Danio rerio: one gene and its partners. The protein of the gene in region 2 purifies or fractionates together with the protein of the main gene of each other region. This does not show direct contact. Links are inferred from orthologs where the notes say so. Each region holds a gene or a part of one and is shown on either strand. Other genes may lie near its edges. The genes, in order: exoc6, exoc1, exoc6b and exoc7.

Evidence for each region.
Region 1: the proteins of exoc1 (region 2) and exoc6 purify together in Homo sapiens (affinity purification with mass spectrometry; 4 studies listed by BioGRID and IntAct, counting the BioPlex papers as one, with this or other methods). This does not show direct contact. The link is inferred for Danio rerio from reciprocal best matches to the Homo sapiens genes EXOC1 and EXOC6.
Region 3: the proteins of exoc1 (region 2) and exoc6b purify together in Homo sapiens (affinity purification with mass spectrometry; 3 studies listed by BioGRID and IntAct, counting the BioPlex papers as one, with this or other methods). This does not show direct contact. The link is inferred for Danio rerio from reciprocal best matches to the Homo sapiens genes EXOC1 and EXOC6B.
Region 4: the proteins of exoc1 (region 2) and exoc7 purify together in Homo sapiens (affinity purification with mass spectrometry; 4 studies listed by BioGRID and IntAct, counting the BioPlex papers as one, with this or other methods). This does not show direct contact. The link is inferred for Danio rerio from reciprocal best matches to the Homo sapiens genes EXOC1 and EXOC7.

Annotation. Positions count from the first base shown.
Region 1 is NC_133187.1:9,574,598-9,582,252, forward strand, and holds part of exoc6 (exocyst complex component 6), read right to left. Parts: intron 4,797-7,655; coding exon 4,725-4,796; intron 4,572-4,724; coding exon 4,474-4,571; intron 4,390-4,473; coding exon 4,284-4,389; intron 2,213-4,283; coding exon 2,103-2,212; intron 1-2,102. UniProt on the Homo sapiens protein: Component of the exocyst complex involved in the docking of exocytic vesicles with fusion sites on the plasma membrane.
Region 2 is NC_133195.1:28,554,935-28,562,589, reverse strand, and holds part of exoc1 (exocyst complex component 1), read left to right. Parts: intron 1-537; 5' UTR 538-545; coding exon 546-669; intron 670-757; coding exon 758-888; intron 889-3,059; coding exon 3,060-3,219; exon of another isoform or gene 3,220-3,244; intron 3,245-3,496; coding exon 3,497-3,514; intron 3,515-4,687; coding exon 4,688-4,875; intron 4,876-5,756; coding exon 5,757-5,984; intron 5,985-7,578; coding exon 7,579-7,655.
Region 3 is NC_133182.1:25,147,646-25,155,300, reverse strand, and holds part of exoc6b (exocyst complex component 6B), read right to left. Parts: intron 4,227-7,655; coding exon 4,061-4,226; intron 3,915-4,060; coding exon 3,867-3,914; intron 3,772-3,866; coding exon 3,681-3,771; intron 3,408-3,680; exon of another isoform or gene 3,348-3,407; intron 3,028-3,347; exon of another isoform or gene 2,915-3,027; intron 1,985-2,914; exon of another isoform or gene 1,858-1,984; intron 1,682-1,857; exon of another isoform or gene 1,596-1,681; intron 1,264-1,595; exon of another isoform or gene 29-1,263; coding exon of another isoform or gene 1-28. UniProt on the Homo sapiens protein: Component of the exocyst complex involved in the docking of exocytic vesicles with fusion sites on the plasma membrane.
Region 4 is NC_133187.1:48,896,047-48,904,216, forward strand, and holds the end of exoc7 (exocyst complex component 7), read left to right. Parts: intron 1-164; coding exon 165-260; intron 261-346; coding exon 347-410; intron 411-1,998; coding exon 1,999-2,040; intron 2,041-3,854; coding exon 3,855-3,988; intron 3,989-4,727; coding exon 4,728-4,830; 3' UTR 4,831-4,984; downstream 4,985-8,170. UniProt on the Homo sapiens protein: Component of the exocyst complex involved in the docking of exocytic vesicles with fusion sites on the plasma membrane.

The DNA of each region.
Region 1 (7,655 bases), on a different chromosome or scaffold from region 2:
AGTGATTGATCATAAACAAGCTGTTAAGGGTGTCACGATCCTCCAAACCCTCGATTCGATTACATTTTCGATTCTAAAAGCACGATTCGATTCGATTTTTGATTATGAATAATTAATTAATGACCAATTAATTATTTGTAGCCTACCGTTTAAACTACCTGACCTGCATGGTCTTTGTTTTACCCATAAACAAATCATACAGTAAATGAATAAAGGCAAGATACACACATAATTACCACCTGTCAATCACTTTTTTCTGCGGGACTCGTGAATAGGCAGTGACAAGACGCACAACCAACAGGAACCAGCCAACAGTATCTGAGGTGTTCGCTAAAATGACTAAGTACAAGTGAGTGAAAGATTGAAGCAATCCTCTGACTGCCTGGACCTGCTGTCTCAAGCTCATATGGCTGTGAGTACGTCTGTGTCTGTGTGGTTACGTGATGTGCATTTTCAGAGGTAGTGAGGACGGAGGGCTGCTCAGAAATGCTACACGCCACTGTGGATGTCAAATCGTTGTCGTTCTAAAATAATAATAAGACAGTGTAAACAGGGCCTGAGTGTGTACTTTTCGCGAGCGGATTTGCAACGGGGGCAGGCGGAGGATCGCGATGCCGGTGTTGTCTATCGGACGAATCGTACGTAATACGTACATAGCAGAGCTTGCAAAACTGTGTTTTTTTTTGTGGACAACACGAACGTTGTCAACATAACTCACTGGAAATCCAAAATGCTTACACACCGGCGACTTCATTGAAAGAGGAGAGGGTTTAAGCTCTGTCGACGGGTCTCCTGCTTCTGCAGTTTAACAAGCACTTCAACAAGCCTGTTTTTTTCCCGCTTGGCAAGCCAAGCTGACGTGACATGGGGGTGTGGCAGCATCGACGATTCTATTTTTTGATTCGATAATCAAAATTGAGCATAAATTTCGATTGATTTCGATTAAAAATCGAAATCGTGACACCCCTACAAGCTGTTAGTAAATTACTTACTAAATACTTAAGTATCAGTTAATAGTTTGTTTATGTTATTGGGACGTTATTCTAGTTGCAACTATTCTTCATTTATTAACTGTTAGTATACAAGATATAGTTGCAACTTTAGAATAACATCCCAATAACATGGTAACACTTTATAATAACTACACACTATAAATCAAAAAGCTAAAAAAGCTTTAGCAAATAGTCAATTCATTATTGGTCAAGCATTGACTCTACATTAATAGACGTTAACAAACACTTTATAAATGCGGCTAATAAAATTCTCTTTTCCTGACTTACAAACATATTTAAAATGTGCTTAATAATTGTACTATCATACTTAGTTAATGATTTATTTTTCATTACTAAATTAAGTATCGCATTATTTACAAACCAGTTGTATTTAAGAGTAGTTGAGGGTTTTTAGGATCATTCAGAATGAGTTTGTAAATGATTAATAAACTATTGAAATCAACGTTTATATGTTTTATTATTCAGGCATATATTAACGGTTACTATGTATAGTAATAAATGCTTTATTAACTCTACTTCATCTAGTTTTGTGACCTAATCTAAAGTGAGGACTATTTATGCTGTATAATCCCTTATAAATGACAAATAAAGGCTGAGTCCCAGCTGAACCAGTTGCCGTTTCTGTGTGGAGCTTACATGTTCTCCGTGTTTGCGTGGGTTTGCTCTGGGTGCTCCGGTTTCCTCCACAGTCCAAAGACATGCGGTATAAGCGAATTGGATGAATTAAATTGGCTTAAGTGGTTTTGTGTGTGACTGTGTGTGTGTGTGTATGTGTGTGTGAGAGAGAGAGAGAGAGAGAGAGAGAGAATGTATGGATGTTCCCCAGGACTGGGTTGTGGCTGGAAGGGCATCCGCTACGTAAAACATATGCTGGAATATTTGGCGATTCATTCCTCTGTGGCGACCTCTGATAAATAAGGGACTAAGGAAAATGAATGAATAAATGGATGAATAAAAGTTTCATGACAATCTCATGAACACCCCCTTCCTTACCATGATTATTCAATATTTTCATTCAATATCCACTGACCAACAATTGAGTGCTGAATGTGTCTGCTGATGTGGAGGGTGTCGATGGCATCTGCTCACCTGCGATGGAGTGACTCGGAGAACTTCAAGCTGGCATAAATAAACTCCTTCACTTGAGAGTAGATCTGAGGCACTGACTGGGACATGGGCAGCTTCTTTGGGAATTGTTGCTGTTTAATAAGGAAAGATTCAAACTAGTCAAAAAGAAATTACATATACAACTCATTTAATTTCTGTGACATATTTACATTGTTTTCATGCAGTTACGAATCAAACTTGTGAATCGCATTTGGTGAATACGCCCAGCTATTGATTATACCCAACAATATGGTGATGATGCCCAACTATTCTGTATGTAAAAACTGAAAACTACCACTACAAACTACAGTTGAAGTCACAATTATTAGCCTTTCTTTTTATTTTAATTTCCCAAAAGATTATTAACAGAGCAAAAAATGTTGCACAGTATTTCCTATAATACTTTTTCTTCTGGAGAAAGTCTTATTTGTTTTATTTCGGCTACAATGAAAGGAGTTTTAATTTAAAAACAAAAACAAATTTAAGGTCATTATTATTAGCCCCTTTAAGCAATTATTTTTTAATACCCTGACCTGCCAAATTAAAATAATTAACCTAGTTAAGCCTTTAAATGTCACTTTAAGCTGAATATTAGTATCTTGAAAAATATCTAGAAAAATTTTACTTACTGTAATCATGGCTAAGATAAAAGAAATCAGTTATTAAAAATGAGTTATTAAAACTTTTATGTTTAGAAATGTGTGGAAAAATATTATTTCCATTAAACAGATATTGGGGAGAAAATATACATAAGGCTAATAATTCAGACTTCAATTACCCTCTACTGCAGGGCGTAACCATATGGCAACATGATACTCATGTTCATTTCCCTGCCACTGTTTCTTTAAGACCAACATAATTTACTTTTTTAGTAGCTTTTAGAGTAGCCAATGATGTGCTTTGGTTAAGTCACATGACATGCTGTGTTTTTCTGTAGCACAATTTCTGACAGACTGGCGTTTATTGTGAGTAGCTGTTAAATGCAAATGTAAACGTCAATAAAAACAAAGGATCAAATTATGTAAGAGCCACAAAAAATCAGAAACATCACCTCCAGTAAGTTATGATGACATATTCACAACTGAATTTTTTTAAATTAAATTAGTTTTTTGTAAATCGATCAAATGTGTATGTTGCCAAATGGCAACACTGTGCAATAGTGGAACATGCAATATTGCAATGGGTTAGCTAGCTAGTAAAGTCAGCTGTGAACTTTTAAGTTGTAACAATATCAACGTGAAAGCTAGTAATATAATGTTGATTAGTCATGTGTTAATGGCATTTGCATTATGGTTAAAATCTAGTTTTATTGGCAATACTACTTTTGAATAGATATCAATACAGGGAACAGTGTATTAGTGAGCACCACCATGTTCTATAGCAAGTGAAAGAGGAAAAGGACAGAACTGGCTCTTCCTGCAGATGAAAGTGAGGGTGAGATGGGTTTTAGTGACCAAGAGAATGATGCAGACTGGACATTTGATAGAGACAGTTCAGGTAAGTTTGTTTAGAGGTAAATAAGACAGGCGTAGTATAGTATATAGTATAATATATATAAACATTGTTAGCTAGTAGCTACATTATTCTGATGCATCTGGATATACTAGACTTGTTATTTATTTGTTATAATATTTACATTTCCTGTATGTTGTATACATGATAATAAAATATTATGATTGTTTTCAATAATATTCTGCAAAAAGAATATAATAAATGAAAGCTGCTGGAATATGAGTTGTGGTAAAGTATGTATAAGGTGTCATTTATTAGTTCAGTGTTAAAGCTCATAGTGCTGCAACACCCATTAAATTATTTTAAAAAATAATAATAATAATTATAAGGAAAGTTTTAAATTAGAAACTTCTAAGTTAGATCAATTGTTGGACGTTGTTGCCATATGGCAGCATTTCATAAAGTACCTTAAAAAAATTTTTTTTCCTATTTTTTTTTTTAGTGAATCCATTTTAAGAAAAGAAAAACAGTCAAATATATATATATATACATATATATATATATATATATATATATATATATATATATATATATATATATATATATATATATATATATATATATATATATATATATATTACAGATTTATCATAATGCGTGTGGTAGTGGGTTAAAAGTACGAATATATAAATGTATGAGAGCTTGACAAACCTTTTCGATCTCTGCATCATGGAAGGGAAAGCGACTGACCACGGCCTTATACTCCTCTTCAGTATCCACAGGAATGGGGCTGTAGTTGTCCTGCTCAAAAATATCCCTGTTTTCAGAAAGGGAGAGATATATGTCAGTCAATAGCCATATTATGAACAATTTCAAATGTTGAAGCTGAAGTTCCTCTGACCTGAACACCAAGGCCCATTTCTTGAGCAATGTTTCATTGTATTGATCTCGAACCTCAAACAACAGGTCAAAAAGTCTGTTCACAGGGAAGCCATAACCCTACAAAAACGAACAAACAAACAAAAAAACAAACAATAATATTGAGTGAGCAGAGCAAATCTATCAAATGAAAAGAAAATACAGATTTTATAATTTGACTTAATTTTGAAAGCAAGATGGACTTGATTTGATCTAAACATTACTGGACAGTACCTGTAAAGTGTCTGCAAAAATAACTATCAGGTTCTTCAGTTCTAGGACCAGGTCAGGATCGTTGCAGTAGGACTATTTGAAGAAAAAAAAAAAAGTCAGAATTAGCACATTTCTGTGATTTTTGAACATTAACATTCTATACAGTGGTCCCTCGCAATAACGCAGTTCACTTTTCATACATTTTTTTTGTGCAATTTGACATGCTTTTTTTTTTTTTTTTACAGCGTATTATGTTCTGCGTCCTGACTGGCTGTAGACCATTGTCAATCAATCTCTTCTGTGCAATGTCTCCTGTACTGTACAGAATGCGTTCAGCTTGCCAAATTTACATAAATCTTGGATCGCTTGGACTCCGAAGATGTACTGTATGTTTAAAAGTTTTCTCCCCACAATGTCAACAAAAAGTTCTGCACTGTCAAAGACATGCGGCAGAAAGCACCCAAAAGAAAAAGGAAGATGCTAACAAAAAGTTGAACTTCTGGACATGTTAACCCCAGGCGTGGTGTATGATAGAAAGTTTAAGTCGACGTCATGCTCGCTCGAATAAATGTCTACAGTAAAGCTGTACGGGTCGCTTGCATATAATTTGAGTAGCACTTCTCACAAAACAGATGCTTTATACACAAATACTTGTTTATAAATGTTTATTACTAACTTTTCTATGAACATGATTTGATTATAACTGCAGATCAATCACAGTGCAAAATAGCCTACGGTAACGTCTGCAATTATTTTAAATAAATATATAAATGCAACATAAATGAACACATACAGTCCCTTACAGTCTACGATATATTATTAATTACAGAAAAACTACACACAGCATACATTTAGTACTTATTTGAGTTTAAAAACACACGCAATATAGCCCAGTCAGTGCAAACCTCTCATCTGTGTCTGTAATCTACACCAGTACATGTAAGCTCTGTTAGAGAGTCAGTTTGTCATTCCCAGTTTATAATAGTCCAAAAGACGAAGATAAACATGGCAGTTTGTTCATGATTCAGGTTGCTAAAACACTTTTGATCCTGAGTCTTGTCGGGCTTCTCCTTTTTTCGCGCTTCACTCTCGCGCTTGTCCTTTTCTTTCTGAATGGATCAGATGACGGAGACACTTCAATAATCATGCACACGTTATTATCATCAGCTCAAGAAGTTCGTTGAATCAAATATAGACGCGATCACACTTTTAGACGGGCTTTTAAAGCAACAACAGCAGACGGCAGATTTTTTTTGCTTGGCTTTGTGTCTGCTCATCAAGATGACGACAAGGTTTGTTTGAGATTGCGTCATCCATGGCTCGTCATTATATGCATATAGTATTTCCATGTAATCTCTCGGCAGTGTATTAGAACATGGCGGATCCTTTGTTTTCATTCTGTCTAGCTCCACGAGCTTGTAAAGTATCTCTGTAACCAATCAGCGTTTAGCTGCGCGTGTAGCTCCACCTTTTGGTAACCTTTCTCGTTTTGGTAACCTTTCGAAAGGGTGCCGAAAAAGTGGTACGGTACGGTTTGGTTCGGTACGCTTTTGGACAGTGGAAACGGCCATAAAAGCGTACCAAACCGAAGGACCGTAACACTCAGTGGAAATGAGCCGTAAGTGACAAAATCTGTTTTCTCTATAATTAATACTTTTTAATACTTTTCTTTAACAAAGAATCAGTAAAAGCATGTTAAAACTTAGTTTTTCCAAAGCTAAACATATATAATACATATGCCACTACATCATTTATTTCCTATGTGATTAACTGTATCATGGAAGTTCAGCTGCAAGATACATTTTAGAGGGGATAATGTTTTTTGACTTTCAGTTTTCTGATATATTACCAAATATATTAAGTAGCGTACATTTTTTTCAACATTAAAAATTCTAAATGTTTCTTGAGCATTTCTTTAGATTATTTTTGTAAGACTGAAATTACACTAAAAACTCAGCTCGACATGAATAAATGATGTATTAAAACTAGGCATGGGACGATAACCGTTTTCAAGGTATACCGCAGTTTGGAAAAGTCAAGGTTTTTAAAACCGCCAAATTTTTTCTGATATTCATTCCTAGGGTATGTGTAGGATTTATTTTTTTTATTTAAGATTTTATTTATTTTTATTTTACACATTTTTTGTTCAGCTTTTTAGGACAACAGTATCTCCAGCAGAAAAGTTATCCAGAGATGCCGTTTTAAATTGCAAAGAAAGACAACAGAAGTCAAAGATTCATTTGAATTATTTAGATTGACATGTTTACAACTCCAAAAAATTATAAATGTTTCTCAAAATAAAATATTTAGTGTTCAAAAGAGGAGAAAAAAAATCGTTTCTTACCCAGACATTTTAAAAAAAATTATTTTAGAGCAGTAATCACAAAACCGTAAACCCGTGATATTTTTTATTCAAGCTTAACATACCTTCAGAATCTTATATCATCAGAATCTTATAACCTAATTAAAACACAGAAAACTAGAAATAAATGTTTGTTTACAGCCTGTCTGAAGCCTTATATCAAAACCATTTATAAAATACCAAAATGACTGCAGTTCAATGGTTTTAAGATGAATGAAATAAATTAAAATGACATTGTAATCCCACATAAAGCTCAATCTTATTACTGCAAAGTCTATGTTAATACTTCGATGAGAAATGTATATAAAAAAACACGTTTTTCAATTAGAGAGTACAATTCAACAAGAGAAAAAAAAGCTTTAATTGATTCCAAAAGAGGATCCAATCTCGATTGCATCACATTTCTGTGGGCCAGATTAGTTTAGGCTCAGCATTTCCCTCTAAATGGGTAACTCACAGCCAGTCACTTATTGATCAAATACACTCAGGTCTTAATGAGTCTTTAGCTTACATTAGCATGTAAATGTGGGGGTCCGGGCCTCCCCCGTGGCTGATGGAGCAAGGGGGAGGCCTGTCTGTGAGGTTAAATA
Region 2 (7,655 bases):
TATTATGACAATAAACCATATACTTTTGATCCCCTGATATCTTATTAAACGTAATTTAAACGTAGATGTTATAGTAATGTTAGTAACATTAATAACGTTAATTTTCTGCTGTATTTGATTGTATGGAATTTACCTTGTTAAAAACGTTGCACTGGTGTATTTACAGAAAGTTACGTTAACATTGTGTAGAATCCCCTCTTTATCTGTTTTGTATATTTTATTACAGCTTTGCGAATGAAAATGTTCAGCTTGCATTTCTAAAACCGAATTAATGTAATGTCATCTTAACTGCATTTCTGTAATGATTCGTCCTAGTTTGTTTTGCCTTTTTGTGTTATGAAGCATCCATTATGATATAATTATCGTCTCTCTCTCTGTGACCTTTTATTTATTGCAGTTTTTACTTTGACTACAAAAAACACACTTTTGAATAACTATCAGTGTATTTTAGTAACATGGACTGTGTCGAGAATGCTTATATATTCAGAGAAAACCTTGTCTGTTCATTTACATAAGCCAGTTGTGATTTAATTTCAGGACTAATCATGACTGCCATTAAACACGCCCTTCAGAGGGATATTTTCACTCCCAATGATGAGCGCCTGTTGAGCATCGTCAATGTTTGTAAAGCAGGGAAGAAGAAGAAGAATTGTTTTCTATGTGCCACCGGTAAAGCACTGACACACACCACAGATCCAAGTCAGAGCATGTCATCATGCATCCGTTTGTTTATTTGGTGTCTTTTTGTTGTTTTCAGTGACTACAGAGCGTCCAGTGCAGGTGAAGGTGGTCAAAGTGAAGAAGTCGGATAAAGGAGATTTCTATAAGAGACAGATGGCATGGGAACTACGAGACCTGACAGAGGTTGATGCTAAAGATGCCAATAAGGTGAGAGGTTACATGAGAATCATTATAAGTGTAGCGGAGGCCAGCTAGCAAAGAGCTGTGCAGGTAAACCTCACTCCTCTGACCTCAAAACGTGCTCTAGCAACAGACGCTAGAGGTCATGGTCTTTAGTCTCCTTGTTAGACAGGGTTCATACTGTCATGGAAAACCTGGTAAAGTCATGGAATTTTGACAGTTGGAAAAGTCATGGACAACACATATCTGTATACTTTAATATAGGTTCGTTGTCTTTACTTCTTTTCTGTCCTTGGTTGATCAAATACTCTTACATTATTAGTGCAGTTTCAGCTTAAATAAATTTTACATAGACATAAATGTAAATTGGGTGTCATGGCGATGCCGTGGGTAGCACTATCGCCTCGGCTGGGTCAGTTGGCATCTCTGTGTGGAGTTTGCATGTTCTCCCTGTGTTCATGTGGGTTTCCTCGGGGTGCTCCGGTTTCCCCCACAAGTCCAAAGACATGCGCTATAGGTGAATTGGGTTAGCTAAATTGTCTGTAGTGTATGTGTGTGAATAAGTGTGTATGGATGTTTCCCAGTGATGAGTTGCAGCTGGAAGGGCATCTACTGCGTAAAACATATGCTGGATAATTTGGCAGTTCATTCCGCTGTGGCAACCCCAGATTAATAAAGGGACTAAGCCAAAAAGAAAATGAATGAATTAATAAATATAAATTGAAACTAATTTGATTGTTGCGTGTTTTAGTATATGCCGTAATAATTTTGGTATTATACAAATGTATTGTTTTTTACCATGCATATGTAGACATTGCATGAAACATTAGGTCATAAGAATTTACTTGAAAGTCTTGGGAAAAATCATGGAAAAGTCCTGGAATTTTTGTAGTAAAAATGTGTATGAAACCTTGTTAGAGCCACCGACTCCCATGCAAAAAAATCGCTGGTTCGATCCCAGCTCAGAACGGGTTGGATGGTAGGACTGGTGGGTTATATATCTGTTCAAGCATGACATAAATGCAAATAATCACATTTCTGTTACATATTGATATTATTATCTTACCGGTTGTTTGATGATGCTGGATACAGGTATATTTTAGGATTATTAATGTATTGTCATTAGTGGCTTTTGTATCATATTTTGAGATTTATTTACATTTGTAAAATAAAAAATAATAATTTTATTTATTTTTAAATGTCACTTATTTTATTTGTTGATTTGTCATTTTAGTGCTTAAACTTATTTCAGGTAGTTGCCAAAGCAACATTTTAAATTAGGATTTTCAACCTAATTTGTATTAAATGATTACATCTTTATTTATATTAATGGAAAAATCAGTTTCAGTCAACAGTTATCACACTTCTTTAGTATATATTTTTTTAGACTAACTAAACGTTTTTTTTTTATTTTTTATCATCGGTTATTTTAATACATCAGCACATACAAATACAGTCTCAGCTATACAGTAGGAAAAAAATTAAATTATATAGACAAGTAAACAGGATGATACAGTCAGGCTATGAGTATAAACCATAGAAGAGAAAATCTGGTGAAAATAATAATGAAAGGCCAAAAAGGTGTCCATAGCTGCCAAAAGTCATTGGACTTTTGATGTATGTCATAGATGAGTTTCTCAAGTGGTAGCATACACACTTGAGACAACCACATTTTATAGGAGGGTACCTGAGGAGATGACCACAATAAAAGTCTACTTTTCTTTGCCAAATAGACCAAGATTAAAACAAATGCTTGGTGTGGGAGTCCAACCTATTCTCTACTTCACCATATAACAAATACAATTCCAGAGAAAAACTCAATTGTATCTTAAAGAGTCCTTGTAGAAAATGATGTGCTTTCTTACAAAAAGAGATGATTTCTTCACAATGCCAGAAACCGTGAAGGAATGTTTCTTTGGATTTTTTACAGTTAAAACAAATCCAGACTAACTAAACATTTATGTACTCTTTAAATCTTAATTATTTAAGAACACTTAATTATACGGTGCATTATAATGTAATGTTATTCTATATAATGTAATATCATTCCTAAGTTCACTTGTAGAACTTTACAGCAATTACTTTTTTCTTGATTCTTATTCTTATTCTTACATTTACTTTTTTTTTAATCTAAAACTTATAATCAATGGGCATCAGCCTGTATGTAATTGATATCTTATTTTTTTTCCTTCATGCAGGAAAACCCAGAGTTTGACCTGCATTTTGAGAAGGTTTATCGTTGGGTGGCAAGCAGTACAGCAGAGAAGAATTCCTTCATCTCGTGTATTTGGAAGCTGAACCAGCGTTACCTTCGCAAGAAAGTGGAGTTTGTAAACGTCAGCCCTCAGCTGCTAGAAGGTGTGACTCGCTGCTACTCCTGGTGGTGTGGTGGAGTAATAGCATGTTAAACAGCCACTGTGTTTTAAGATGCAGTTACCTTAAAGCCATATGACAAATCTAAAGCTGTTACATAGAATTATTACATTTGCAGTGGTAGGGACTCTTTCTGTTTTCCTGCAGCTAGTTCTCTCTTTTCTCTCTTTGGGTCTCTTTTGGTTCTGCAATGTGTCTTTTTGAGTGCCCTTAATGCTTTAACCAGATCTGTGCTGTTCTCTCTAAATCTCTCACTGGCCAGAGCTTCCTAAAGCTGAAGGTTTGTACGCTGTTTTTTTCCACCTTTCATCCTCTTCCATTTCCTTCTCCATTTTTTCCATCTTCTCTTATTGTTTCCCCTTCATTAATGCTCTTATTTTCCGCCAATTAATTAGTTTGCTCAACTACTGATATCTTCATATATTTAGACAGTGCTCACCCTTTAGATTTTTTATGTGTGCTTGTTTTTTTATTACTTACATTTTATTTGTTCAGTAGATTAGTTTATGTACTCACATGCATATCTAAGCTATTGTTCAAATGTTTGGGGTTGGTTAGAGTTTTAAGAAATGTTTTAAATACCTGATATGTTCACTAAAGTTCTTTTTATTTATTGGAAAAACAGCTAAATTGTTTAAAGTGATAGTTTTAAATGGAATAGAAAATTTCCTCATCATTTACGTTCCTTTTATGAGTTTTTTTCTCCTGTGGAAGACCACTATGGAAGTCAATGTGTTCCAGAAGCCAGCATTTTTCTAAATATCTTTTTTATTTGTTTAACAGAAGACAGAAACTCAAATAGATTTTTAAACAAGTTAAGGGTGAATAGATTATACGATTTTCAGACACAATTTTCAGTTTTGGTGAACTATCACTTTAAAGCAGGTGTGTCCAAACTCGGTCACAGAGGGCCAGTGTCCTGCATAGTTTAGCTCCAATTTCCTTCAACACGCCTCCCTGGAAGTTTCTAGTATACCTAAAAAGATGGGGTTGAAACTAAAATCTTCAGGACACCGGCCCTTCAGGACCAAGTTTAGACACTCCTGCTTTAAAGTATTATCAATGTAACATATTATATACACAGTTTTACATATTTACATGTTTTTACAATGTAAATAACAGTTTTCACATACAAAGCAAATCTTTAGCTTAATTTTTTCAGTCTTTAGTGTCACCTCATTCTTCATCTGTTTCTTTAGGCTTCTTTAATAAAAAAGGTCTGCATTTGTTAATATTAATAAATGCATCAATAAAATAGCTACATTGACATAAAATATCTTTTGTGAATTTATGTTTTCACTGTCACTTTTGTATTTTTTTTCTTCTGAAGTATTTTATTTATTTATTTATTTTTTTTACAAAATTTACACTGACCCCAAACGTTTTAACAGTGGTGCATAATGTATAATATAAACACTTTTTTTTAATGATCCCTGTCTCTTCTTCTTCCCAGAGTCGGTTCCGAGTGGCGAGAGTCAGAGTGTTGCTGGTGGAGATGAAGACGCTCTGGATGACTATCAGGAGCTGAATGCCCGTGAGGAGCAGGACATTGAGGGCATGATGGAGGTCTGTGAATACGCCATTTCCAACGCTGAGGCCTTCGCAGAGAAACTGTCTCGTGAGCTTCAGGTCCTAGATGGGGTGAGTATGTTCAGATATTTCCTTGGCTGTAACAGAAATTGCCCCCTAGACCCTTAAATGATACACTTAATGCACATTCAAGGGAGCAGCCATTTGTAGAGGTGTCCGAAGCCAACATAGACATTCTGAAGTGCACTCAGAAAATCCCACAATTCACCTCAATATCGAGGGTACAGCTAGAGAATACCCATAATCAGTGATGTAAAGTAGCTAATTACTAATACTCTAATTACTGTAATTGAGTTGTCGGTCACGTTATACAGCAAAACAACAGCATATTCAATTCTACTATGGCAATTATCACCTCAAGTAGAGATTATATGCTTTATTTTATTTATTTTGGTTATCTCTATATGTGACATTTATTGCCATACAAAACTTGCAGAAGTCTAAACTGTGACTCAGTCACTTAAACCACATCTGTCACTCAGACTATGTAATAATGTTCTAATGAAGTTAAATACATATTAGTTAGATTATAACCTTCCATATTGTTGGCAGTGCAGTGGCTGATATTTAAATGAATGGCTAGTATTTAGATGTTTCTGTTGTGTCGCATTGTGTTTGATGCAATCGCTTGTTGCCGAAATCTTGAGTGTTATTAGAACATTGTTTTACCAAGCTGTTTAAAATCTAGTTTGATCTAGTCTGATGGATTTATGTCGTGTTAGCACCTGAAAAGTATTGATTGCACCAGTCATCAGGATTTTTATCTATATTGAGCCAAGTGTAATAATTATCTACAGGTCAAGGTGAGTGAGGCTTAAAGCTTGTCTGATTAGCAAGTAAATTATACAGTAGTTGCACGTAGTTTGATTATTGGTTGACAGTTGTATGATTTTAGAGATGGTGACTAATAATATCTCTTCCTCTTTGATCAGGCTAACATCCAGTCCATCATGGCGTCTGAAAAGCAGGTGAACACCCTGATGCAGCTGCTGGACCAGGCTCTGGCGGAGGTGGACACCATCGAGGGGAAGCTGCTCAGTTATGAGGAGATGCTGCAGAGCGTGAAGGAGCAGATGGACCAGATCTCACAGAGCAACCGTCTCATCCAAATCAGCAACACTAACAATGGCAAACTGTTGGATGAGATACAGTTTCTAGTGGTATGTTAGGGCACGGTATACAAGTGCACATCATAATTTTGGCGATGCAATCCTCAACAAGCATATACTGGTAGGGTGGAAAATTAGTGATCCATTGTGACCCATCAGTAGGCCCACACAGAATCCGCAGATTTTTTGCAGATTTCCACAGATTTTTAGCCCATCAATAATTCTGTTTATTTATTTGAGTAAATGTGTGTAAATATTTATTTATTCAGTTTTTTAAATATTTCTGTAATGTTATTGACTAATATGAAAATGTTTATCTGATCTATGTGCAATAAGTCTTTTAGTAGAGATATTAAATGAGAGATTTGCTTTGTTTGCCAAAAAGTGGATCTAATTGGATTTGCATTTTAAACATTAAATAAAAGTTAAAAAGATATAATTTTTATTTCACATATTAAGGTTTTAGTTATGATACTGCCAAAATAATTCTGCTGAAATCTGCAGATTTTTACCAAAATTCTCAGCAGAAATAGCTAATACAACGTCCGCAGATTCCGTCTGGCCCTATCAGAAACTGTTGCTTAAAGAACATGAATATTTGGTTGGCTATGAACAGTTTTATTTAATTTATTTATTTTTTGTTACTGTTTATTGTCCCCTTTTAGGGCAATTTGTTCTGGAGCACAATAGATTTACAAAATTGACAACACACACAAGACAGACAACATACAATATCAGTAGTACTAAAAACCTCGTCTTATTAGGATTTAGCAAGTCAATAGCACGAAAACAAATTAAAATTAAAATCTGTTAGACTTTGCCAAAGGGACCTTATATTGTAATCTGATGTGCTTTTCTTTAACATGTGGATTTCATACAAATGGATTTCATGCAATTTCACTCTCAGTAAGATTCAGATTATCTGTTAAAGTGTGTTGAAAACTTAATTAAACTGACCTCAAATCTAGATTTTTAAGTTTAGATTTTAAGGAAAAAAAAATTAATAATTCAGTAATAAAACCTTTTCTTTTACTGTTTTCTCATTCTTTACTTTTCCCTTATTGACCCTAGTTTGGGAAACTCTGCTTTTCCTGTATTTAAAGTGATAATTTTTTTACCAGAAAAATAAAGCTTGTGTTGTTTAATGGTCAAAGCATATTAAGCCACATATAAACTATGTAATGTTTTTTCTTCATTTAAAAAGTATTTTTTTTTTATTTTTATTTATTTATTTTATTTTATTTTAGATTACATTTCATCAATGTACAAACCCCTGGACCCCTATAGTCAATAGTTAATGGCTTAATTGTGGAATCTTGTATAAACATTTATTTGTCCCTAGACTTCTTTTGTATAATTAGATTTTCTTTACTTTGCCTTTGTAATCCAAAAAAAATCTGATTAAAAAATTTTCAATAAAAAAATGACAGTTTAATTACAACTTTGATGTTGTCTATTAGTTTCCCAGTACTGGGTTGCAGCTGGAAGGGCATCTGCTGCATAAAACATATGGTGGAATAGTTGGCGGTTCATTCCACTGAGGCAACCTCTGATAAATAGCTGAAGGAAAATGAATGAATGAATGAATATTGTCTATTATTTCAATTATTCTTTACCTTTTTTTATCTTCTTTTCATCATGTTAGAACTACATGGATCTTTCAAAAGGGCACATTAAGGCTTTGCAAGAAGGAGATTTGTCCTCTCCTAAGGGTATCGAGGC
Region 3 (7,655 bases), on a different chromosome or scaffold from region 2:
AGCATGCGAGTTTCCAGGCAGAAAACATAATAAGAAAATCATACAGCAGTTCAAAAGTTTAAGGTCCATTGGATTTTTTTCTTTTAAATATTGGACACAGACATCATTTATTTCACCAATAATATGCATTATATAATTTGGAAATTATTATAATTTTTTTTTTAATAGATGTTTTTCAGCACTATTACAGTCAAATAAAATCTTTCAAATATGCTCATCTGGTGCTTAAGAAACACCTAAAAAACGCTGTGCTGCTTAATATTTGGTGTGACGGTTTTAATAATTATTTGATTACCCAAAAGAACAGCATTTTTTAAATATACATTTAAAATAAAAAAAATTACTTTTTAAATACTTACACAGCAAAATGTGGGGACCCAAAACAACTCTATGGGTGTTAATTTCAACACTTTGAAAGTGTCTCATGGGGTCCACTCAAAACAGACTTAAATCAACACTTTCAAAAGGGTTGGCACATTGACACCGAAGTAAGGGTTAATTTTAACTCAGGGCAGAGTTAAAAAATGTAACTATATTTAACACCACCTGGTGTAATATATTATTTTATTCAACTCTCTTGAGTGTAAATATGGTAAAAAGGTCAAATAGACTGTAAATTACAAAATAAAGACATTTTATTTGAAAACATTCACAACTTCAACAATTCATTCAATTTTTAAAATGCAACAATGTCAAATATGCTTTAAATGTTTTATTAGTACAGACAGTATCAACAAAATATGATGTCCAAACTTTGTTTCATCAGAGCAATTTGAAAGTCCAATATATCGTCACTCATAGTTTTCTTCTGAACGCATAGTTTTCTTCTGAAATTACATTTTAAACAACTTGGCGTGCAAATCTTTCACTTCTGGTGTTTCCTTGGTCCTCCACATCAAACACAGCAGTTTAAATGAAGGTATAAATGCTGTAAACTTATGTGAAAACAAACTGGAGCTAGGAAATCTCATCAAGCATGTCCTGTGAATGAAGTGCTTCCCAGCCACAGGATGACCTTTTTATCCATGACGATGTAGTAGCTGCTGATCGCTCATCTGGTGGTTCCTGATGCACGGATATAGGGTGATGCTCATCTGAGAACTCTTCAAGACTCCAGCATGACTAAGAAAAATGTTTGAAAATAAAATTGCAATCAAATTCTATGATATATTTAAAAGAACATTTAAAGTAAATAAAACATTCAAGAAATATAAACTCGCCTTTTGAAAATCTTCATGATGATCCACAACTTGACTCTCCCAGCTGGTTGAGGTGACAGGATATGGAAAAGTAGAAAAAACACATACATCACTGTTGGATCTCCAAAAACAATTAGGTTAACCACTATGACTAGAACTAGAAAAACAGGCAGCTGTCTGTCCAGAATCCTGAATTTAACACAACACTTGGAGCAAAATTTAGAGGAGCTTAAAATCTTTTATATCATTTAGTGATGCTGACTTCCCCAAAATATTAGCCACAGTGTAAAAGACATTCATAAACGTACAGTTTTCTGTAAGCGTGTGCGTGCGTGTGTGCGTGTGTGTGTGTGTGTGTGTGTGTGTGTGTGTGTGTGTGTGTGCGTGTTTCTTTACCAGATTCAACTTGTTAGGCCCTTTCAGGTCCAGTATTGACACCACCTTTACTGGAGTCTAGCAGATGTTTCAGGTCCAAATATAATCTAAAATATTAGGATAAGCAGAAGAGAAAAAGTGCAAAGACAACAGCAAAACATTATTTAAGTAAAAGTTCACCCACAATACAAAACTTATCACCTTCATGTCATTTGTTATTCTCTAATGCTCTAATACCCTCTCAGCTTATTGTGAAACAAATACAGAACTTTATCAAACATACCTTCATTATTATCACCACATATGACCAAGAAGGTGTGCTTGGTCATTTCACCAACTCTGGAAATACACCATCCGTCTCTAATCAGCCACCGTCACAGGGTCTTGTGTTATTGTACAGAGAACTGTGGCTGTTAAAAAACAACACATTAGTATCAAACACATATGCATAACCTTCAGATAAAAAAGAGAGATGAACATCACAAAGTATGCCTCACACATTTTCACATATCTTTTGATTCAGATGTTGATTATTGATAATAAATCTACAAATCAAACCTGTATCATCATTAGGCTGCTCAAATATGAATCAGTTGATTAATTTTACAGACAGGTGGCTGTTTACAACGCACTAATAAAACGGAAATGTTGTGTACAGTGCATGCTAAGTTTAGTCTATAGTTCTAAGCACAATATCATGCGGGAGAAAAAGCTTGACTAAGATGTTCCTGACAACAGAAATAGCCTAACTTACTAACGTCAGACATCCCGAGTTGGGAAAAGTCATTTTCGGGGGATACAGAGTTGATTTGCGGGAGGTAGCGGGAGAGATAAGAACCTGAAGAGCAATGGGATGAGCTGCGCGCGACGTACCTGAAGAGCGGTGGGGGTGACTAGAGCGCGACGTACCTGAAGAGCTGGGAGGGATGCGGTGGAGAGGGGCGTGCAAAGTGTTTAATGACCGGGCCGGAGACGCGCGATTTCCGGGAGATGATCATTCATTTGCGGGCATCTACTTGGGCATCTGGGATTCTCCGTGCATTTGCGGGATAACGTTAGTCCCGCAACTTCCGGGAGACTTCTGTAACGTTAAATGTCTGATAAAGTGCAAACGCGGTCATTTAAAGACATTAATGTTAACATTCCGACTTTAATGGTTGTCAACACTTAATATAATTCAAGCGTACGTTATCACACGAGTCTAAGTTATGGACTAACGGTATATGGACGGCCACGAATGAACCAGTTTAAAAGGGCCAAATTAACGTACACGAATAACAAACAATCATTTGTTTCAGTCAGGAAGCCTTTTACAAGTAAGCATATGTTCATTTACTCACCAGATATGTTTTAGAAACTCTCCAGAGCTTATGGAAACCGTCCTGTGTTGCCGTTAGCATCCGGGCAGAGTAGGCTAACGTTAGGCGGCTCCGGGGATTCCCTCGCTAGTTTGCTTAGAATTAAAGGAGAAGTGTCGATTTTATTTTACAGATGGGTAACAACGCACAAAATGGCATTAAGCGTGACAGAAATGTGCTGAACATGTACATTTGATGTTTTTATGCACTATGTATGCGTGAGCATATATAAAAACATTCTTGAAAAGAAGTCAATAGTAATGCAGTTAAGCTAGATACACAAACGACCATGAATGAACCACAGAAGTTTAAAATTGTCACTCCATTCTAAAGTTATTAACTTAACAACATGTGTACAACTGTATTTCCTTAAAGAAAGTCAGTAAAATACCAACATTTAGGTAGTTTGACTCACCAGTTGCTGTTCTAAACCTCAGATGGAAAATGGTGTCTGGAAAATTCTTCAGTGACTGGGGCTGCATGAATTCCCGGATGTTGGAAATAACACCACCAAGTGTAGAAAAGATAACTCCTTGATTTCGCACTGAATAAAATCAATTCTAACTCTTATTATATTCATTTATCAAAATCTAACTCTTTAACGTCAACACTTTACTCTCAAATGCTTCAACACCGAGAATTTAACTCTGATGAATTTGCTGTGTACCTCAAACTTTTCGATAGAAATGTAAATAGAAAGGCAAAGTATCAGCTAAGCGTGACGTCCGAAGAAAAAAAGTGCTTGTACCTGGTAAGCAGTGTGTGAGTTTGTCAATAGTGGTGGCAATGTTTCTCTGCTGCACACGGCACTGCCTCAGCTCATTCATTGACGTCAGGAGCTACATAAGATGTAAGCATTCATTTTAACAATGCTTAATACTAATATAAAATTATTTTTCTAAGATGTTCTGAAATCAAAGACTAAGCCAAGCACCTCCTTGCCATCATTTTGCAGTTTCTGATTGGTCTCGGTCACCTGCCCCTGAAAAAGACAGAGCAGAAAGCAATTGAAGCAAAAATCACATGCAGGAGCTATAAAGTTTTAGGATTTGTCCAGGTATACAAACACACAAGAGGTTATTTAATCTGTCCAGATTACACTGTACTAATGCTTTTCTCTTTCTTCACCTTCAGTTTCTGAGCTTCTCCGCGCACTTTGAGCAGCTCAGTAATGGAGTCCACAAAGCCCTGGAAGTGATGGTTGCACATCTTCTCAATTTCACGGTCGTGGTTGCGGATCCGACCCTCCAGCTTCTCCATGAAGAGTCCATGTTCCTGTCCATCATAAACGGACCTTTGAGAAAGAACAAAACAAAACAAGAGTGTCAATATTACATAAAAGATACAGGACATATCCGGGCCAAAGACTCATTTTGTTGTCCACATCAAAAAAATAAGCAAATTTTTTACATTGAAAACATACTAAATATTCCAAAATACTACATATTAATTAATATGTTAATTACTAAATTTAGTATTTAACAAACAGAATGTCAACTTTCTGAAGTAAGCAGAGGACTTTTTATCTTGAATATACAGTTTGTCAGAAGTAGCAAAAAAATGTATTAAAGTCATTATATTTTGCTTGAGAAAAAATGTTAATAAATTATGACACATTCTAATGTAAAGGGGAAACATTTAGACTGTATTATGCTTTATGAATTTTACGCTTGAAAACACTTTTTAATCTTTTAAAACATACATTATATTACTACTGACTGTTTATACAGTTGAAGTCAGAATTATTAGCCCCCTTTAAAAGTTTTTTTTCTTTATTATACATTTCCCAAATGTTGTTTAACAGAGCAAGGACAATTTCACAGTATGTCTGATAAAAAAAAATTTCTTCTGGAGAAAGTCTTATTTGTTTTTTGTTTCGGCTAGAATAAAAGTAGTTTTTAATTTTTTTATAACCATTTTAAGGTCAAAATGATTAGCCCTTTTAAGCTATATATTTTTTCGATAGTCTACAGAACAAACCATCATTCAACAATAACTTGCCTAATTACCCTAACCTGCCTAGTGAACCTAATTAAGCCTTTAAATGTCACTTTAAGCTGTATAGAAGTGTCTTGAAAAATATCTAGTCAAGTATTCTTTACTGTCATCATGGCAAAGATAAAATAAATCAGTTATTATAAATGAGTTATTAAAACTATTATGATTAGAAATGTGTTGAAAAAAAATCTTCCCTGTGTTAAACAGAAATTGAGGAAAAAATTAACGGGGCTAATAATTTTTTTTGGGGGGGGTAATAATTCTGACTTCAACTGTATATATTATAAGCGACTCATTTTAAATATATCTAATGTAACTAAAAGTTAAAAGTGAAATTTTATTTCAGTCAAAAGGAAGGCATACAAATAAATTGTCTAAAAATATTTCTCCATTGTCGCTGATACAAGGCGTTTACCACAAGATGGCAGTAGAAGATATGAAATAAACATATATAAGCAAATATTTTCTTTGCCATTTGAAATCGGATTAAACCCAAGAACTGTTAAGAGTTCTTTTAAAATAAAAATAAAAACTTCTATACTTCACTGCAATGTTTCCTTTTACATAAATATATAAGATACATATATATTATGACAATATTACAATAAAATAAAGCATTGCAAAAGGACACAGTCAATTTAAATGGAGAAATTAAGAAATATGTTCATTAAAATACGTTTCTTGGATCTACAGGAAAAATATATTTAAATATATGTAAATATATAAATGCCAATAGATCAATCTGATTAATTTCAGTCCACTAGAGATCTTCTAAATGGTCAATGTAACAGAGTTGAGGAGAACGAAGATGAATCATATCCTGGGTGATTTCTACATCTACATTAATTTGGGTACATCTGAAAACAGCATATCTAAACTTGATTACATGTAAATATATGAACGCTTTAACAAACTCCTATCAGTATAAACAAAGATCTATCTTTTCAGAATCACATGACTTCACAGACCTCAGTCTTCACAATCTACACACTTTAGCAGAAAAACTTGATCATCTGACAAAAATGCTATCTCGGTGCGGCCAGAAGACCAAAACAGAGAAAAAGATGCAGTTTTACATGCATCCGGATTAGACGTCATTTCTCATGATCACATGTAACTTAATCCTGTTTAACAAACAGAAGTGCTGTCCTGATCAGTAAAATACTATCTAAATGAAGACACAAACATGCCAGCACATGCTTCGACTGAGTCTTCCTCTGGCTCAGGAAATTTCCTCTTTCCATTAGCACAGTTTTGACGTCACTGATCACCTCTTTTACAAACCAAGACTGCCGGGCAGGGCAGGGCAGGGTTGTGCAATATGACCATACATATCATATGGACAAAATAAAAAGTCTACCCTTTCATATTTCGCTCTATCATTTATATTGTTGTGTCACAAAATACATTGTTTAGAATAACACTTTATGCAGACAGAAACATAAATGCAATCTTGAAAGTACAACGTTTAGAGATTGCATTTTTTTAGACAAAATATTTATTGAATATTTCAACATTTTTAGTCAAAATGTAAATGTAATGTATATTTTTAGTAAACATTTGCCCTAAAGTTATAATATAATTTAAAATGTATTAAGACACAGTCTATCATTCATTTTCTTTTCGGCTTAGTCCCTTTATTAATCTGGGTTCGCCGCAGTGGAATAAACCGCTAACTTATCCAGCATACAGTATGTTTTACGCAGTGAATGCCCTTCCAGCTGCAACCCAACACTAGGAAACATCCATACACACTCATTAACACACACACACACACACACACACACACACACAAACACAAACACAAACACACAAACACACAAACACACACACACACACACACACACACACACACACACACACACACACACACAAACACACACACTGGACAATTTAACCTACCCAAATCACCTGTACCACACGTTTTTGGACTTGTGGGGAAAACCCACACCAACACGGGGAGAACATGCAAACTCCACACAGAAATGCAAACGAACCAGCGACCTTCTTGCTGTGAGGCGATTGTGTTACCCACTGCACCATCGTGCTGCCCCAATATATCAATATTTAATAAATTATCGTATTTAATAAATTGCTAAATTTCATATTTAATCATTTATAAAATAATATAATATAACTTATATTGTGATTTAAGATTTTGGTCACATTCCTTTACCCTACTGCAGGGTAAAATAAGCACTTAAATTCAGCTATTTTATCTGTCGTAAGAGGAAGATGCTGGAAGGAAATGTGAGGGCTAAAAAAATGAACACTGTCAGAGACAAATCAGCAGACAAGATGCAGTTAGTCATGAAATGCTTAAAAATACTCTACACAGACCAATACAATTATTTAGGGCAACAAGACATGGAAACTATGGACATCTTTTTATTATAATAGTCACAAACATCTATCTGCAACAACTTAATTTTGTTTCAATCGAGACTGAGGATGCATAATAATCTGATAAGAAATCACAATCCAGATTAATTAAAAGCTGAAATGAGCTGTTTATATAAACCTAATTTTATGCGGATTTTGAAATATTTTGTTTTTTTTAACTAAATTGTTTTTGCTAAAAAAAAAAAAAAAATAGCGAAAATGGCAAGATGCGCAAATGCACATAAAAATACAACTTAGATAGTAAGAAAATGCCCATCAAAAATGGCCATAAACTACAATAGAAATGTATTTAATGTTTGAAGTCCAACAGCTGCTTCAAAAA
Region 4 (8,170 bases), on a different chromosome or scaffold from region 2:
GTCTCATATTTCACTCACACAGATATACTCGCATTCCCTCTCACACACTTACTGTATGCTCTCTCTTACTCTCCCACACACACACACACATGTGCATACTCATACAACCTCACACTTATGTGAGAATGAAAATGGAAATGAAGTGGTGTGTTTGTGTTGTTCAGGTCAGAGTTGATTCAGCTGGTGGCTGTGACTGTGAAGAAGGTGGAGAGTTCCTACAGAGAGCTGATCGAGCAGGAGATCCAGAACTACCAGCGCAGGTACAAACACACACACAGCATCCGATCACAAGAGTCCGTCTGAATGATCAATCGGTGAATGACCTTTGACCTTCCCTGACCTGCAGCTGGCTGAGGGTCACAGAGCATCTCGCAGAGAGGAACATCCCAGATTTCCAGCCGGGAGCCAAAGTGAGGAAAATCACACACATTTACCGTACTTTCACACCGAACACAAATGGAAAACACAAATAAAAAAGGAATGTAGTGATTGCTAGATTGACTTGTATTTCATTGCAGACAATAAAACAAACATTATTGAATGTGTTTTCAATATTTTTATTGTTTACAAAATAAACATGTAATCCAATTTTGGTTCTTGCAACACATTTAAAAGAAGTTGCAACAGTAAATAATTTACCACTTTGTAATGTTTCCGTTGTTTTTCACTACACTTAAAAGACGTTTAGAGACAGAATGATAAAGTGTTTCAGGTGTAGTTGTGTTCCAATCTTCCTGCAAACAAGCGTTAAGGTGGACAACAGTACGTGATTTCAAAATGCACCACGCATTCTCTATTGGAGACAGGTTGGGACTCCAGGCAGGCCAGTCAAGTACCTGTATCCCCCGCAGCCAGGACTTTGTAATGTGTACAGAACAAGTGTGCCGCAAGCCTACGTTTGAGTGAAGGTCTCGGCCGTTAGATCGCCCCCTGGGGGCTGGCTGCAGTACAAGTCATAAAGCCCGCCTCCTCCGTGTTAATGAAGTAGACTTGAGCCCAAATAAAAAAAAATATTACACTTGCAATAAAATGTCCCGAAAGATAGTTCTGGTCGATTAAGGCACTGGTTATTGTGCTGAAATAGGTGCAGATCTTCATTTTTGTAAACAGTTTGTTTTTAGCAGTAATTTAATGCTGGGCGTGTCATCGTGATTGACAGCTGTGATTGACAGTTTCTCAAAGCGCGGCGTCTGAGCTTCGGCAGGAGACTGAAGTAGACTGAAATGTTATTATTCGATTTCTGTGTTATTTTACCATGACAAAATGAGTTCAGCAGTAAACTACAGTTTCTGACATACATGATCCTGGTGGAACACTGTTTATTCGCTAAGTTCAGGGCTTTTTTCGGGCTTTATTAGTTTGCTGATACACGCCTAGCCACCCAGATAGCAAAACACAGTTCCGGCTAGATTCTCGCCTGCCGGAGACTTATCTCTTAGAGCTCAGACTGACTAATGTTACCTCTGCTGGACATACTCCGGATGCCTGGACTCACTACCCAATTCCAGCCCGAGTCAATCGAGCCAGATGCAGTGGCCGAGCGAGCCGGCGCTGCCGCATGCGAGCCGGAATCAGCCCGCGACGCCGCGAGTAAGTTATGCGCTGCGGCCTGGAGCTGGCGCGATTGAATATATAAAACCCTCATGTTTGTTAACGTTATTACATCCATTTGTGTTGATATGACAGCAAACGCATGCTGAGAAGTTCAGGGGGCGTGGTTGATTTTACATAAAGCGTTTGATTGGAAGCTCGACTCTGCTCATTTTCGCGGCTCCTCCTCTGGCTCCATCAGACAGTCCTTCTGCGCATGTCAAGGCTCCAATTTCAGCAGTCTTTTGCGACAGTTTGTGCCCGTCAAGCAGGCGTTTTGCCCTCAAGGCGTTCAATGGGAAAAAGGGCTGTCGCGTCGTCCATATTTTTTACAGTCATTGGTACAGAATGTGGTTTTGCATTGTCTTGTTGAAATATCATCATTAATCTGAACTCTTGTTTGTGCAGCTGAAAGATAAAGAACGACAGATCATCAAGGACAAGTTCAAGGTGAGACAAACTCATGCATACTCTAACTATATACATCATATTTACAGCTTTTCTCAGTGGTATGGTATGTCCCCTACACTTTTAGAGACCGACCATTCAGAAACAGGTGATTAATGCCTAGTTCAGACTGCGTGATTTTAGCCCCGATTTTGGCTCACAGACATGTTTTGAGAAATCGCCGACAAATGCCTGAAATCACAGGCAAATCGCTGCTCGTGCACGTGAGTGACAATCACACAGTGTGAACTATCAAAGACGCGATCTGAGAGAATGCTGAATATCTGGAGCTGTCGGCGATTCAAATCATGCAGTGTGAATTGGGTTTTGACTGAAAATAACATCAGCGATTGCCTACAGCCAGGGCCGGAGCAAGCTGAACTGCCGCTCTAGGCAGAGGACGATCACGCCGCCCTCAACCCCAATGAGAAAACGAAAGTGACCGGTTATGAAAATGAAGTGAGGTGTCGCGGACCTCTTTTCCAGCGCACTATGTGCGGATATAGCTGAGGACGCGCGGGTGCTGAGGGAGGGAGGGAGGTGTCGCGGACACTGCGCTCTCTATTCTGCCACCCTATGCGCGGATAAATGAGGACGCGCGGGTGTCGCGGACCTCAATTCTGCCGCCCTATGCGCGGATATAACTGAGGACACGCGGGTGCTGATGGAGTTGTCGCTGACGCCGCCGTCTCTATTCTGTCGTCTATGCGTGAATATATTTGAGGATGCGGGTGGTGAGGGAGGTGTCGCGGACATAACTGAGGATGCGGGTGGTAAGGGAGGTGTCGCGGATGCCGCCCTCTCTATACTGCCGCCCTAGGCGGCCGCCTAGGTCGCCTCTATGGACGCGCCGGCCCTGCCTACAGCCAATGAGAGGGCAGCGTTCACTAGTGTGTGTGTATAGCTGCTGCAGGCCAGCGGGAGGCTGGGGGAGAAGTTAAAAGCGCTCATTTTCGGTTTATTTGGACCCACGAAATGGAGGAAAAACTAGTGGAGGTTTGACAGGACTCGTGTCAAAACCGTGTTTGTTTGACCTTTCATACAGAAAGAAATTAGTTTATTATTAACGTTGAGGAGAAATGGCTAATTCCCTTTAAACCCAGGTGAGCGAACATGTACATGTTCTACCCCATTAAAGGCTTCTTTCTCATTATGTAGTCAATAACAAAAGATATACGACGTGTTTTTGGCTGTGAAACGTCGTTTGGATGAAGTTGTCGGCGATTCTTCCTTTAGTAAAGTCATGCAATGTGAAAGTCCCTGTCGCCAATCCATCTTGCAGTGTAAACAAAGCAGCGATGAAACGCTAGCCCAGATAGTCATGCAGTGTGAAAACATCTGTGACACGACTACTTTAAAAATCATGCAGTCTGAACTCGGCATAAGACTGAAAACCTCAGGATTTCATACAGCCGTCCCCCCCACTTTGAAAATGTCCGCTACACCCCTGAGTTTCCGCGCTCATCTGCTGCTCTTGACGGCACTTTTAGACGTCTCTTCATCTCATTTTTCATTTGATCAACACTTAAGTCTATTTAACTGATTCGATTTTATTTCCGTTATAACATCTATGCTGTAAAAGAAACCTGATGTAGTTGAAAACAGTCACATTAACCTTTCACCGGAAGTTTATCGGTGGCTGAAAAATACTTTAGCTTATGCTTTTTTTTTTTTTGCTGTGAAATGTTGATGATCTTAATATGGTTCGTATCAAACGATGATTATTATTTCAAGGTGGACTGTTGTCTCAGAGCTGACAGGGTTAAAGTGTATGTGTGTGTGTGTGTGTGTGTGTGTGTGTGTGTGTGTGTGTTTAGGGTTTTAATGATGGTCTGGAGGAGCTGTGTAAGATCCAGAAGGGCTGGGCAGTTCCTGATAAAGAGCAGCGCGACACCATCAGACACGCTCAGAAGAGGGTCGTCTCACTCACTTATAAAGCCTTCCTACAGCGGTGAGACACACACAAGCACACACACACACTAACTGCGCATACATAGACACACAGACACAGACTCATACAAGCACACTCACAAACGCATACATAAACACAATTCACACACACACATGTACTTGCATACACACACACACACTCATACAAGCATATACACACACATACACACACAATTTACACACAAATGTTCTTATTTTTATGAGCAATATTACACGAGTAGCAGTGCGATGTGGCCGCAGGCCGAGTGCCTTAGTGCCCCCACCAGTGCCGATATACAGCCACACACATACACAATTGTGTATATAAAAACAAAATCAAACATGGAGAGTCTTAAAAACCCTTTTGTATGAGGAACTACTTTCCTCCGCATTGGATTCAAATCATAATCTGACAGTTAAACAGCTGTTAAAACAGTTAAAGGCATCTTTTAAACTTTAGATCTGTAGTGTCTGCTTTTTGCTGGCTGTATGTGTGCGGAGTAATACACAAAGGGTAAAGAGGCTGTAGAAGTTCTAATATTGCAGAATATCGCACGGCTTTCAGCCAATCAGATTTGAGAACCAGACAGAACTGTTGTATAAATATATATATACTATACATACTGTATATACTCACACACATTTCCACACATATACTCACAGACATTGTCAAAAACACACGCACTCAATCTCTCTTTCACACAGACACACACAAACACTAACACGCACTGTGGTTTATGTTCTGCTGGTTGTTTTTACAGATGTGCGAACATTTCATTCACCAAGAATCCAGAGAAATATCACCGCTACTCCCCGGAGCAGGTGGAGGACATGATCGACCGGCTGTTCGACACTTCAGCTTAGACACGCACACACACTCTCTCTGTCTCTCCTGCTTCACTACACACTACTCCACTGTAACGCCACTGCTCACTTCTGCTCCTGTTTTTGTATAAATGTATTTATGTATATGTCTATGGGGGATTTAACTGCGGTAAATAAAGAATTTCCTCCTAAATCCTGCGCTGATGTGTGTTCATCAGTTACATTTGCTGATTTATTTTCATTTCATTTAATGAAGTGTTATTAGACAACGGCTATTTCAAACACAGAAACACACATGCAGTTAATGAAATGTCAAATTCTCATTTAGTTTTTTTAATTATCATTACAATTTGATGTGCAGTGCTTTTAGATTTATTTAAAACTATTGCATTTAACAAATATTTACTTCATTCATTCATTTTCTTGTCGGCTTAGTCCCTTTATTAATCCGGGGTCGCCACAGTGGAATGAACCGCCAACTTATCCAGCAAGTTTTTACGCAGCGGATGCCCTTCCAGCCGCAACCCATCTCTGGGAAACATCCACACACACATTCACACTCATACACTACGGACAATTTAGCCAACCCAATTCACCTGTACCGCATGTCTTTGGACTGTGGGGGAAACCGGAGCACCCGGAGGACACCCACGCGAAGGCAGGGAGAACATGCAAACTCCACACAGAAACGCCAACTGAGCCGAGGCTTGAACCAGCGACCTTCTTACTGTAAGGCGACAGCACTACCTACTGCACCACTGCTTCGCCCTACTTCATTATTCGTTTTAAATTATTTATTAATTTTTTTTCTCCTGGCATAAAAGACAAAATTGCACAATTTGAAAATTTGTTTTATTTAATTTCTTAATTTTTATTTTTTTAAATAAATTTTATTATTTTGGCTTTTTTTTTTGAAAATATTGTATTTTTATAATATTTATTTTAACTATAGTTTTAATTGTTTTAAATTTTTTGTTAAAAATTTTACTTGTTTGAAAATAAACTTTTCAAAAAACAAGCAAAGATACAGTTATTTATGTGTTTTGTTTTTGTTTGTTTTTTTTACAATACCTACTGTAATCGTACAAATCTATTTCTCTATCAATATTAACAATATACACTCACCGGTCACTTTATTAGGTACACCTGTCCAACTGCTTGTTAACTCAATTTTTTAATCAGCCAATCACATGGCAGCAACTCAATGCATTTAGGCTTGTAAACATGGTCAAGACGATCTGCTGCAGTTCAAAGTGAGCATCAGAATGTGGAAGAAAGGGGATTTAAGTGACTTTGACCAATAGAGCAGCTTTGGGATGTGGTGGAACGGGAGATTGGCATCATGGATGTGCAGCCGACAAATCTGCAGCAACTGCGTGATGCTATCATGTCAATATGGAGCAAAATCTCTGAGGAATATTTCCAATAGCTTGTTGAATCTATGCTACGAAGGATTAAAGCAGTTCTGAAGGCAAAAGGGGGTCCAACCCGGTACTAGTAAGGTGTACCTAATAAAGTGGCCGGTGACTTTATTTATTTTATATATATATATATATATATATATATATATATATATATATATATATATATATATATACGATTTTTTTTTTTAATTACTGTTTAAAACAAAACAAAACCGATATTTTTAGTCTTGCCAAAGTGCGTCTTGTTATTTTAGTGTCTGTCAGAGATGATTAAAGGTGCTTTCAGTCACTTGGGTGTGGAGCTTTATATTTAACCCTTAAGCCTTCATCACTGACCTAAAACCAGCTCTGAGTCTGTGAGGATGTGAAAACGCCTCTAAAATCAACGAGTCTAAAGCTCAAACACACTGAATCATATCCGGACCATCCTGAAACCGATGTTCGATGGACCAACACCTAGAGTTATTACTCATCATCAATTATGATGAGGAATCATTGATTAGCTCAGTGGTTAGCACTGTGGCCTCACAGCAAGAAGGTCGCTGGTTCGAGTCCCGGCTGGGTCAGTTGGTGTTTCTGTGTGGAGTTCTCATGCTCTCCCCGTGTTGGCGTGGGTTTCCCCCACAGTCCAAATATTAATGAACTAAATTGGCTGTTGTGTATGAGTGTGTATTGTGTTTCCCAGTACTAGGTTGCAGCTGGAAGGGCATCCGCTAAGTAAAACATATGCCAGAATAGTTGGCGGTTCATTCGTCTGTGGCGACCCCTGACAAGGGACTAACGCGAAGGAACATTAATGACTGTTATTATTTTAAGGTCACAAGTGGTTGTGTAAGCATTTCACTGCATATCATACTGTATTTGACTCTGTATATGACGAATTCAATTTACATTTATTCTTCAACCTATATGAAAGGAAGCCATGGAGGACATATTTGGCTTGTTGATTGTTGGTGCACAGCTGGAAGTTTCAGAATGTGTAAGTGTGAAACTGATTTGACTCTTTGCCCACTTGTTTTTCCAGTGTATGTGTGTGTGTCATTGTTTTGGAGGAAATGCCCTCTTACTGCCTGGAACCATGGATTATAATGACCTGCAGATGATCCAGACTCTGATCAACACTTCCCAAATTCTGGGGCTGAATTCACAAAACATTTTTAAGAAGAAAATGATGTCATTCTGTCGTCTTATTTTTACTTAAAGGGCACCTATTACGCCAAAATCATTTTTATAAGGGGTTTGAACGCAAGGAGTTGTGAATATAGCCAACTTCTAATAGTCAAATTGAATTAATTCTATTTGTTTATAATCAGGCCGCAGTCAGAACAGTCTGCAGAAACACTTTGATTGACATTCTCCTTTTGTATGATGTCATTAGAGGGGGGAAAGCCCCTCCCACCAGTGACAGTCCCTCCCTCATAAGCATAAGACATTAGTCCTGTTTTTGAACCACTATGCTGACACACAGGCATGTGAAGCTCCGCCCTCTTTTGAAAAGAGCACAATTTCATTTGAGTTTAAAGCGACAGTATCCAAAACAACACAATTAGGATCAAAGCCTAAACGGGTCCATTTCAGAGAGTTGCAAAACATTATTTGTGGGGTATTTTGTGCTGAAACTTCACACACACACACACACTTATTATACATCTTGTGAAAATGGGCGTAACAGATCCCCTTTAAGCAGTTTAATGATAATTATTGACCAAGTCAGTGAAGTTACCAATCATATATTTACATATAACTCTTCAGCTGCTCCAGAACGCAGCAGCACGAGTGGTCTTTAATGAACCTGAAAGAGCACATGTCACTCCGCTGCTCATCCGTTTGCACTGGCTGCCAGTTGCTGCTCGCATCAAATTCAAAGCTCTGATGTTTGCCTACAAAGCGACTTCTGGCTTTGCTCCTTCTTATCTGCTCTCACTTCTGCAGATGTATGTGCCCTTCAGAAACTT